Arabidopsis thaliana: one gene and its partner. The protein of the gene in region 2 interacts with the protein of the main gene of each other region in a biochemical or structural test. Each region holds a gene or a part of one and is shown on either strand. Other genes may lie near its edges. The genes, in order: AHP5 and WOL.

Region 1 (4,394 bases), on a different chromosome or scaffold from region 2:
ATTTGCAGCCTTATTACAAGTGTGGAGATCGATGTTGCTGTAGTAAAGCACATCTCTAGTGTGATCCCTAGAGTAGAACCGTTTCTTCACTTCCGGGTCCTGCTCGTGAAACCTGCGAATCCCTTCTTTCATCCTCTCCATCACCTCCACCGAGATCCCATGATTCACCACCTGGAAGAATCCCCATCTCTCCGCAGCGTCTCCAATCTTCTCCACCACGCTCCGCCGCGATATCAAATCCATGCTTCCTCCTTTCAGATCCACCGTGGGGATCGTCAGCTGCTGCGAAGGTGGTGCTGTTTGTTTCAGGCTTGTTAGAGTATCCGGAGGTGTATGGAACATGGCTGGAATCTCTTTGATTCCCGAAGCCACAAGCCCTTTCACGCCGGTTTTTGTCTCGTCGAAAGCTTTTGCTTGACTTGAACGATCACTTGACTCCATCTTGCTTCTTCTTTCTTTTTTTTGCAATGCACAGATTTGCATAAGTGCTATTATTCCACATCTTAATGCACATCTTAATACAATTAAATAACAAAAGGAATCGTGACCCATATTAAGATAACAAATAAAGAAATGAATCGCCAAAAACAAGGTCCATTAGTTTATTTCAATTCCTATATTAAAATTTGGATTCTTAATTGGTCGTTTGTCTTTACAAGTAAGAATAGCATCCGGTTTGAACTTTTGTTAATTAACTACACACTTACCATATTAAATCTCATCGCCATTGTTGCTCGCCTAGCTCTCGAAACGCCACTAATTAGCAAAACAACATTTAAAGATATCTCGTTTGGAGGACTTTGGACAATCGTTCCGCTACTGTTCATTTTCTCTCTCTTTGAAGTTTTTTCCAGTTTTTACAGATCTAGTTTTTTCTGCCTCTGTTCTTCATCTTAGGTTATGAATTTGCAAGACAAAGCAGGAGTAAGGCAAGCTATCTTCTCCGGCATTGGAGTGGTGTGGTTTTTCCGGTAAGCGTGGCAGCGGTGGCCCTTTCTCGGTGGATGAGAGGCTTCTCTTCCGTTTCTTCCTGGTTATGGACGTCGGTGGAGATCGGTGAAGTCTTTCTTGGTTCAACCACTTGGTTAGACGCTGTAGCTGTGGCGGAAGACGCTGTGGATTGGTGGGTTTTCAGTGCGTGTTTGATGGTTAACAAACTGGATCTGAGATGGCTGTTGCGGGTTCCGGTTGCTGAAGGGTTGTCTGAGCCATCACCCTTCTTTAGCCTCCGTTTTTTGTCTCCATCAATCCGGATTGAAGGTTGCTTTGCTTTTGGAAAATTTTCAGATCTAAGGTTTTGGAGGTCAGAGGCTTGGAAATGCGTGGTCGTTTTGCGAGGTTGGGGACTCGACCAAATTGGGTGGCGGAGTGTCGGAAACTGGGTTTTTTCCGTTAGGTTTGTTGCAGGTCCGGCCAGCTCATTGGTAAGAGATTTGCGGCAGGACTCGTATACTTCGGCCAATGATCTCGTTCCGGTGGTTGTGTTGCAAAGTAGTGGGCCTTGTATACGACGGTACTAATAGATCTATTTGCTGCCTCCGTTCCACTGCCCAAATCCACCTCTGGTTCTCTTTTTCCGGTGACCGGATTTTTCCTGTTTTGTAACTGTGGACGATTGTAATTCCGGGCCTAAGCCCAATTGGGACTGGACCTTTTTTTTTAAAAAAAAAAAAAAAAGATATCTCGTTTGTGGAGAACGCATGCTAGCAACTTCCCTATCTATAAAATCAGATTTGCACCCCACAAACTAAAATATTATTTACGTACTTGATTAATTCCTACAATATAGTCATTTACAAAAATAACCCTCCATTTGATATTTAAGTCAAAATCAGTCAACGGAACGTGGAATAAATTATAACTTTCGACGCTCCGATCAGATTCATCATCATCTCTCTCTGTGTCGCTCCGATTTTGAATTTGGAATCTCTTAGTTAAGTTGGAAGTTTGTTCTTTGGTCTTTTCGCCTAGTTGTTGTTGGATCTGTTTTAAATTAAGCCAAAAACCTCCGATTAGATCGATCTCGGAACCGTCGAAATACAGTTCACCGTATCCGTTGTTTGTTTTTGGTATATGTATGTTTGAGAAGCTCTTACCATCTTTGTTTACAAGTCTGGTTCTTGGTAAACTTTAGCTATGAACACCATCGTCGTTGCTCAGTTGCAGAGACAATTTCAAGACTACATCGTTTCTCTTTATCAACAGGTTCGTTCCTAACCAAACTTTTCTTACTTTGGCTGGATTCTCACTTTTGGGCTTAGATAAGCTTAAGGTGCAGTTATGTGTGAATTTGAATTTTTTTATTTTTTTTATAAAGATGATATAATATGTTGTTGTTTTGAAGGGATTTCTGGATAATCAGTTCTCAGAGTTGAGAAAGTTGCAAGATGAAGGAACCCCTGATTTTGTAGCTGAAGTTGTCTCTCTATTCTTCGACGACTGTTCCAAGCTTATTAATACCATGTCTATATCCCTGTAAGCTTTGCTTACTCTCTTAGGCTTCTCTTTTTTATCTAACATGGGACTTTGTCTCTAATCCTCCTTCATATTCATTTTTGAGGGTGTAAATTAGCTTCATATATTCATGACAGCATTTTATGAGTTTATTATAAACATTAGGGAGCGGCCAGATAATGTGGATTTCAAACAGGTGGATTCAGGTGTTCATCAACTCAAGGGTAGTAGCTCCAGGTTTGTCACAGTGAACACTGCTAAATTTGCTTTTCTAGTTTTAAGTGACCAAACTACATTGATTTTAATGGCTCAGTCTCTGCTTTGTACTCAGTGTCGGTGCAAGGAGGGTGAAAAATGTGTGCATATCTTTCAAGGAATGTTGCGATGTTCAGAACCGTGAAGGGTGAGTATATTTTTTAGCTTGTTGATGCAAAATGTTATTGGATCTCTAAACTTTTTTATTATATGAGAAGCTATTCTTCTAATTCACACACAAATTGTGATAATGATATCTGGCACAGGTGTCTAAGGTGTTTACAGCAGGTGGATTATGAATATAAGATGTTAAAGACTAAACTTCAGGATCTCTTTAATGTGAGTTTTAAACTTTGCGAAAACCTACTTGTTCTGCTTGTGTATTCTTTTTACTGAGCCTTTTGCTACTTCTCATTCTTCTGTTTCTGTTATGTTATGTTGTTGCAGTTAGAGAAACAGATCCTCCAAGCTGGAGGTACAATTCCTCAAGTGGATATAAATTAGACCGATGCGTTTCTCGATTATGCAAATGTTCAAGGCTGATGACACAAATGAAACCGAAACTCCTCTGTAGTTTTGTTGTTGTTGTTATGTTTTATATTGATTAATGAGGTTCAGCAACACTGTCCCTGGCCAGATATCGTGTCTTGTTTAGACTCTTAATTGAGTTCTAAGAGTAAAAATTGAATTATTAGTCTATAAATAGACATGTCCATATGTATTCCTGTCACAATGCAACCACCATTTGGAGCCTTTGTTCTGACCATCATGACTTAGAATTCTCAGCATTATTCTGAATCTGATATACTCTATTGGATTCATGATTTTGATTTGAGCCGTAAAGCATGCGGGTACTAGTTAGCACTTTAGACGATTTCATTATGTGTGGATTAATCAAGAATGATTTGTTTGAATTATGGATAACACGATTCCATGGTCTCTTTATTTTGTTAACGGTATTCCATGGTCTCTTTTATCAACATTATTGTTATAGGGCTTATAAGACATGATTGTGACAATAGATTGAGAAAGGATTGGGCATGTCTTGTTAGGTATGTATTTAATATAATGTCCGAATTACCTCAAACTAGGAATGAAATAAAAAGAAAATGTCGAAGAATTATCAATAGATTGTTTATAAGTGGAATAAAAAATGTGAAGCCATGTGTCTATGGTAATCACTAGGTGGAGCATTTTTTTTTTTTTAAAGGAAGAGTATGTGAAGTGAAAGAGACTAATGAAACATAAATTGAAGGCATGGAGGCGTGTAATGTAACAAATAATAACAAAGCTTTTCTCCTCTATCCTTCATTTTATCATATCCATCTTCATCATTTTTATTTCTCTCAACCAATGTTTTTAAAATAATTTTGTAATATCCTTATAACATGGTTGGTTTTAGGGTTCTTCATGAAACCGATTCAAAAGTCAAAGCAAATCTTATATCGGTTACTATGTGATCTTACCTTCTATGGAGAGAGGATTCGACGACACACCAAACAAACACAAGAGTCCCAAAACGAGTGCGTTAATTGTCTCGTAGTGCGGACCATCTTAGGGTTTAGACCTTTTTAATTTTGTTCATTATGATTGGAACGTATTGCTTTGGCTTTCTTGCAAAGCCAAGTTTTCTTTTCATAAATCTAATTTGGTCTACTCATCACTACCTAGTCTCTCTTAGAATG
Region 2 (7,714 bases):
ACTCCTATACCTGAGTTTGATTTTTCATGAAAACAATAACAAATTTGTTTAGAAAGTCTCTCAGTTGTGATTTGGTCCAATTAATTTATTTGGTAGTTAGAAATGCAGACGGTATGATTATCCTTGGTATTAGTCGGAAGGCATTTCAAATTAGAACCTAACAGTGTGGTGATCCAATTCTACCTAAATCGGGAGAAATTCATTCTGTAGTATTTCGTTGCGTTCCTACTGAAACTGATAAAATAAGTCGATAGAGTATATAAAAAACAAACAAAAAGTCAGATATTTTCTATATACTCTTCTTGGACAAGTTCCTAATTCTTCTCATCCTTTATAGATTACATCGAGAGATCCGATTAAAGGGTTGTTGATTGGCTTTGGTTATCTCACTCGGTTTAGTGAGATCGACGAACCAATAGTAAAACGCAGTCGTTTTTAAGCTTTGCTCTGTTTCTGTTGTTTGAAAGCTCAAGTCGTCGACTGAGCTATAGCTAATGAAGAGTTGTTTGAGCTCTTTCTCTGATCTTCGTTCAACTAGCTAACCGATTTGGTTGCTAAACAAGCTCAAAAGATGAATCAAAATGGTCTCGTCTCAAGTTATAAGAAGATGTTATATATGGAAAAGTTATTATTAGAACATTACAATGTTTAAACGACTAACCAAATCTGATACAGTACAAACGATCCCGTGGGATTAATACTTACGCTAAGATCAACACTGAACCGTCGTCTTAGACGTTGTCGTTTAACAACATACACTAGTCATGGCAAGCTACATTACTTCGGTGAAAGAAAAAAAAACCTTCAAAATCTCTAGATTGTGAACCTACTGTATGTACAGAAACCAAAATGCATATCAATCAGCAGAATCGGTCCACTCTTCCGGCTGCGGAGAGAGAAAAAAAACTCGCCGGAAGATTGGATTACGACGAAGGTGAGATAGGATTAGGTTTGAATGATTTGGCAACGGATTTATAGAGATTCTCTTCTTCAAAAGGTTTGGAGACGTAACCATCCATCCCACTTTTCAGACATTCCTCGTAGGTCGCGTGTATCACATCCGCAGTCATCGCTAGAATCGGTAAATGCCATTCGAGATTTGTCTTCTCTTTAGTTTCCTTCTCCATCATTCTTATCTGACGAGTTGCTTCAAATCTGAGAATCAATGAAGTTTATAAAAGATTTTAACCGAATCCGAACCAAACCAAGTCAGTTATAATTTGGCGGGAAATTTTTCATACCGAACAATTCAAAAACCGAATAATCCAAAAATAGTATTAGTTGTGATTTAGTTACCCGTCCATCTGTGGCATTTGAATATCCATGAAGCAAGCATCGAAAGTGTGTGGAATCTGAAGCAAACCCAAAGCAACTTGACCACTCTCTGCACAAACCACTTCTGCTCCAAATTTCTTGAGAGCTCCTGCAGCTACTCTCCTGTTAACTATATTATCATCAACCACAAGAATCTTCTTCCCTGTAAGCAAGCTCTTGAGAGTTGCGGGTGATGATCCTTCTGGATGTTGTTGTCTTGTTTTTCTCAGCTCGAGAACTTGTTGCAGACACGCCCCAATCATGCTTGCTCTTAACGGTTTCATTATTACCGTATCTGCAAATCCTGCGGATTTAGCTCTGTCGAACTCCGAATTTGTGATGTTTGTTGCGAATAGAGCTAGTTTCGGAGACTTGTGATGAACGTTTCCGTTGGTTCTTGAATTCAATAAACGAATCTCTGAGTCATTATCTTCAGTTGAAATCCATGAATCTTTCTCTACTAAGATCATATCAAGTTGCGGTTTTGTTGGGAGAGGAGAACCGTTTCTTTCAAACGCAGCAGCTGCAACAACAGCGGTTTTGAGACTTGTCACGACATCAACATTGATTCCGAGTCTTTTCATATGGTATCTAGTCACAGCAGCTCTAACAGGCTTAGCATCAACAACTATAGCTTTCATTCCTTTAAAAGTAGAAGGCAAGTGTTCCACATTAGGTTTCTTCATATGGTTAATCGCACTGCATTTATCGCATTTCTCTAAAACAGCCGTGAACCAGAACGTGCTTCCAATATGAGGCCGGCTTATGAAATTTATCTGACCACGCATAAGTTCAACAAGACACTTGCTTATACTCAAACCAATACCAGTACCTCCATAGTTTCTTGAAGTCGAGCTATCTGCTTGCATAAACGGCATAAACACACGGCCTTGCGCAACTAAAGGGATTCCAATACCCGTGTCTTCGATTGAAACCATAAGCCTAACATTGCTAGAAATATCAAACTCCGATAATGACTGCTCCTCAGAGACCAAATGCTTGAATGAATCCCAGCTATTCCGACCATCAGCAGCTTCGTAACCGCTCAATGTGTTGTAACTTGACTGTTTGGAAACAACGATCATTTCTTCAGACACTCCACCATTCAATGCATTTTTCGGTTCAGATTCATCTTTTGATTGTTCCGCAAGATGGACTTTAACAAAGATATGTCCTTTCTCTGTGAACTGTCAAAAAGACAACATCTTGATCAAACAAAAATCATATACACAAGCTGCCAACAAAGGCAGAGATTGAAATAGGGACTAACTTTAACCGAATTTCCAACAAGGTTTATGATTATCTGTCTAAATCTCCCTGAATCTCCTTTGACTATCTCTGGTACTTTGTCTGAAACGAAAACCGCGAGCTGCCAAATTTGAAATCAAGAAATTAGCAGCCACAACTCCAAATAGATGTATCTTTATTCCTTGGATTGAAAACTTACCTCAATGCTTTTGTTCCTTGACTCCTCAGAGAATAGAGAAAGGACATCATCCAATATTGAACGGATATCAAATGGTACTGATTCCAACTCCAGCTTTCCAGCTTCAATCTTGGCGCGATCAAGAACCTCATTTATCAATGCAATCAAAGCTTTACCACATACTTGAGCGGTTTGAGCGTAATCTCTCTGTGTCGAGCTTAGTTCTGTATCTAGGAGCATAGCAAGCATTCCTGCAGAAAATTTTTAAAACAGAATCTTTGAGGCAGTTTGAGAAACCAAAGATGAAAGGCAACAGTACTGGAATTTGTTTGAAGATGTAGTACCGAGAATGCCATTCATTGGTGTCCTGATCTCGTGAGACACGGTAGCAAGAAACTGCGATTTAGCGACATCAGCAGCTTCTGCTCGAACTTTAAGCTCTTGCATTTCATGGAAATCATCTTCGACTTTTACTATGTGCATAGCTGCACCATACAGTATATAACCCACCAAGAAACCAATCGCAAAGAACAATGGCACAGTTGTGAGCACATTCAACGGTATTGGTGCCTTTTGGTGGTACCTGCACTCGAAATTGTTCAAACAAGATATCAGTTTTTAGATATCAGAGAGTATTTTAGCTTTAAGATTTTCTGTGTGGTACCTGCATATCATCTTATGTTTCCTGAAGGGGTCTCCAAAATCGAGCTTGCTCTCATGAGAGAGAGATCTGTCGGCTTCTTCATCTTGATTACCATACATGACAAGTGGATCTGATGCATTGGTGATATCATACACATGCACAACTATTGCTTGGTTACCAGCAAGCTGACCAAGTAAATTCTCGACTAGAGACTCCACATCAAACGCACCACCAAGGTACCTGCATTTCAAATTCAAGCATCAATCTTTACTTTACACACAAACCAATCTTGAAATCTCAAAAAACCTCTTTCCTTTACATGATCACACACATAAACCAATCATGAAATCTCGAAAATCTCTTTTTACATGATCACAAGCAAAAGTTTGCTCCAGTAATCAGATGGGAACTTTACCCTGCAGTGGCTGCAATACGCTCTTCGACAGTCGGATTTTCAGGAAGAGAAGACTTGTAGACAGGGAATGTCAACACAACTCCGAGATGGTGAGTTTCCAACAACCTAAAAGGGCTAGTCAAGACAGCTTTTCCGGTTTCTCTAGCTCGCAAAATATTCTCACGATCCTCCTGCAGAAAAGATAGCCAAAATTCAGAAGAGGTGCAGGTCGGATACTTAACCGAAAAAACAAAACCATAAGTGTCTGATAATGTTTATATTACCTCGCCTGACATCATATCGAGTGACTCAAGGTAAGAGACACTATCTTGAGAGAATATAACAGGAGCATACTCATCCCTAACCGGTGAAGGCTCTCCTCTATCCATTGTCTTTATAACCCAATTGTGCTGCCGCTCAAACATCTCCCTCTCAAAATTCACAACTTTTTCAGCATAAGCCACTCCACTTAGCAACGGTCTCTCAAATGCTGTTCTTGCCGTGTACTCCGCAAATGTCTCCTGCAAAATTAGCCACAAACCAATGAGTAAAGCAAAGGCCTAAATTTCCCTTCATTTACTCAATAACCAAACATAAAAGAGTAAATTTCAAAAACTTCTGGTTCCAAAAAAAGTCAACTTTGCATTTATGAATCAAAAATTTCACCAAAGCTTTGAGCTTTTAATAAAGCACACACTGACCTGATCAATTGCAGAAGGGTTCTTGTGGTAATGAAAAGTGGAGACGAGAATAGCCAAAGCATGAACATGATTAACACTAACACTAAATTGATCCTGCAACATTCTAGCTCTTTGATCACACATGCTGACCAAAACCTCTTCCCTTCTAATCTTATTAGCATCATCCATCCACTGATAAATCCCACTGCTTATAAACCCAACAATGATGATCCACAGAATCAAAGCTTTTGGTAACAATGCTCGATGTTCTTGTATGAAAGTTGACCCTTTTTTATTACCCATTAGATCGTTATTATTATTATTGTTCATCTTCACCGCCACTGAATGCTGAAGCTGTTGCTGCTGCTGCATCTTCGCAAAACCCATCAACCCCGAACGCCAAAAATCGATCTTTCTCGGCTTTTCTGACGAATTCAGAGCACCACCACCACCCAGTTGATAAAAATCGCTGCTTTTCAAGTTTTCTAGTGACTCGGAATCAGAAATTTCAATTCTTCGTGGCTCTTCTTCTTCTTCTTGATGATTGTTGAGTGCCCAGTTCATATCTGAGCTACAACAATAGAGAACAAAAGAAGAAACAATAGTGAAAGAAAACAAAAGTTAGAGCCTTTTTTGCATACATATAACATAAAAGCATTGGTAGTGTAGTTATGATTAAGAATGTTACCATAAACATAGTTTATAGTACAGAAACAAACCCTAGAAACCTGTAGACGAAAAAGGACATGTTTTTGCGAATTCAAGAACAAAAGAGAGAAAGAAACGCATGGTTCTCAAAAGAAGCAACTTTGCTCAGTTTCCAAAGGTTTCTTACAGAGAAGAATTAAAAACTAAGTAATTATTGTCAGAGAAATTAATTAATACTAAAAAACACACTAATCAATCATAAGCTCTTTACAGGCGTGATTGTTTATTATTGGAACAAGAACATAGCTATGTTCACTGTCTCAAATCCAACAATAGAAAAAAAATTAAAGCTTTGACCAAAGAAAGAAAGAACACAGAGAGAAACATAACATTAGGAAGAACGACTAATAAGCAAGCACATGGAGAAATTATTTTAGTTACCTGTAATGAGTTGTGAGAGGATTGAACATTGCATTATTATTATACACAAAATCTCTTCTCATCACTTCAAATGTAGGTATTCCATTTTCTTTCTTCTTTCTTCTTCTTTTGTTTTAGTGAGATTTTTTGCTTTTAAAAGTAAGAAAAAAATTGAATCGAATTTTTTAGATTTTCTTCAGATACGTTTCTCTCTCTCTGTGTCTCTGTCTATATCAGTTTTTTGCCATGAACTTTCTTTTCATTTTTATATCTCTCTAGCTCTTTTTTCTTTTTCTAACTTGAGTCCAACTTTGAAGAAGAAAAGTTTTGGACTTTTTCTTAATGGCTCATGATATGATCCATCCAACAAAAGTTATTATTTTACCCAAAATCTCCTCAAAGTTAACATTATTATACGAAATAGATATATTTTCTCTAACCGAATTGTCGGTATTTACTGTGTATTTAGAGAAATTGCAAAGCGACAATGAAGAATTCACAAACTTCTCTTTATCTATAATTTTTTATAATGCTAATATAAAAGCGTATAATTTGGCGCGGAAGATCCGCACCGAACCGCATCATATCACATTTGTAAATAATATCCCTCAGGATTGGTTTACTTGAGCTTTAATAATTTTGGATGACAAAAAAAAAAATATAATTATTGTGACACTAACTAGGTTTGTCTTACTAATTAAAACATCTTTAAAACTACATTTATTCAATTTCATTACATTTCTTATACATCATTTAACATTTAAAGTAACATTTACCATGTTTAAATTTCTTGAATAAGTGAAGTAATATATAGTCACCAACTTCTCAAAATTTATTATCTATTTTTTCCTTGGTATAAATAAGTTTTCTGAACTTTAGAAATAAAACGTTTTGTTTTGTTTTTTTACTTACACCAAAAGGAAAATAAAACGTTTTTTTGTTGAAATATAAGAAAACAAAAAATATAGGTGAGTGAGAGACTTTGTACGAGAGTCGCTATCGCATATCTTTGGCGATAATGACATCGCGACAAAGCGCAGATCTGGCCCCATAGACCTTTTACCTGAAATACCCACCATTCTAGTCTCTTAACTACGAAAATACCCCGGTTAAATGGGCCTGACTCATAAGCCCATGATTTATCCACGTGTAATTCTTAAGACAATTGCATGAGTTGATTCAGGAGATTTTAGAATTCAAAATTTATGAATAACAATCAAATTATTTATTTACTACTAGTATTATACGGTAAACTATTTTTTATATTATTTAGAGTGTTTCTTTTTTTTGTAATAGCAAATTGTTATGACCTAACCACAAATTTAAAATGCTCATGAATTTCTAAAAACGTTAAAAACAAAAAATCATTAAATTATTACATGTTTGAGGCAATAGTAAATCAATCCCATTAAATTAGTACCATATTAAATGATAACATAGTTATGAGTTTTATAATGAAAAATACAGAAAAAAACATAGAGCTATTATTAAAGATACATGAAAATATTATTATTACCTTATATGTGTAGATGGAAACTGACGTGGGTTGTGTAGCTTTCTCTCGTGCGCTTAGAGACAGTAGCTTCTATAACTACATGATATTTGAGAGAAGTTTTTGAATATTCAAATGGATTTTAGGAACACTTGTATGGTTCCTTTGAAATATGCAGAATTAGAACTTAAAGCAAGATTGATAAACATAGAGAAGATACGTGTTTGGGATACCTTAATTTCATGGCTTGATCAGAAGCTTTCAGTCATAGATGAATGCAGTGTAGTTTCTTTTTCCGCTATTGATTCTTTGATCGCTGCACATGTCACAGAATTTTAGTAATGATTTTTGTTACAGATTTCTATATATGTTTATAACAGAGGCCAGTGAAACTCACATTGTGCTCTTCCGAGAAAGAAAAAACAAACAATGAATCTGGAATAAAGTGAAATTAACCTAAGAAAAATAGAAGACAATAAACTTGGATCGAATACCATTTTTTCTATACAATTTCATATCGATGGATCTGGGAATGATTTTTTTTTTTTTTTGGAGGAAGCAAGAGCAAGAGATAGATTTAACGTGAATTGGATTTTTGTAGAGGAAGATAAAACGGTTTGGAAAATCTTGAGTTGGTTACAAATTTCCAAAGATAATGATGGTGTGGTGTGTGAGAAAATCTAGGAATATTTTTTTG

The links.
Region 1: the proteins of WOL (region 2) and AHP5 form a complex in vitro, tested with the Arabidopsis thaliana proteins (one study listed by BioGRID).

What each region holds. Positions count from the first base shown.
Region 1 is NC_003070.9:846,023-850,416, forward strand, and holds AHP5 (histidine-containing phosphotransfer factor 5), read left to right. Parts: upstream 1-1,770; 5' UTR 1,771-2,136; coding exon 2,137-2,205; intron 2,206-2,344; coding exon 2,345-2,475; intron 2,476-2,619; coding exon 2,620-2,691; intron 2,692-2,785; coding exon 2,786-2,857; intron 2,858-2,975; coding exon 2,976-3,048; coding exon of another isoform or gene 3,049-3,105; exon of another isoform or gene 3,106-3,156; coding exon 3,157-3,213; 3' UTR 3,214-3,599; downstream 3,600-4,394. Other genes in the region: 2A6 (2-oxoglutarate (2OG) and Fe(II)-dependent oxygenase superfamily protein), read right to left, coding at 1-552. UniProt on the Arabidopsis thaliana protein: Functions as a two-component phosphorelay mediator between cytokinin sensor histidine kinases and response regulators (B-type ARRs). Plays an important role in propagating cytokinin signal transduction through the multistep His-to-Asp phosphorelay.
Region 2 is NC_003071.7:362,409-370,122, forward strand, and holds WOL (CHASE domain containing histidine kinase protein), read right to left. Parts: upstream 5,950-7,714; 5' UTR 5,609-5,949; coding exon 5,547-5,608; exon of another isoform or gene 5,029-5,546; coding exon 4,479-5,028; intron 4,299-4,478; coding exon 4,062-4,298; intron 3,969-4,061; coding exon 3,799-3,968; intron 3,624-3,798; coding exon 3,405-3,623; intron 3,324-3,404; coding exon 3,085-3,323; intron 2,992-3,084; coding exon 2,762-2,991; intron 2,684-2,761; coding exon 2,585-2,683; intron 2,502-2,584; coding exon 1,297-2,501; intron 1,156-1,296; coding exon 924-1,155; 3' UTR 575-923; downstream 1-574. UniProt on the Arabidopsis thaliana protein: Cytokinins (CK) receptor related to bacterial two-component regulators. Also binds the synthetic urea-type cytokinin thidiazuron, a potent defoliant and herbicide. Functions as a histidine kinase and transmits the stress signal to a downstream MAPK cascade.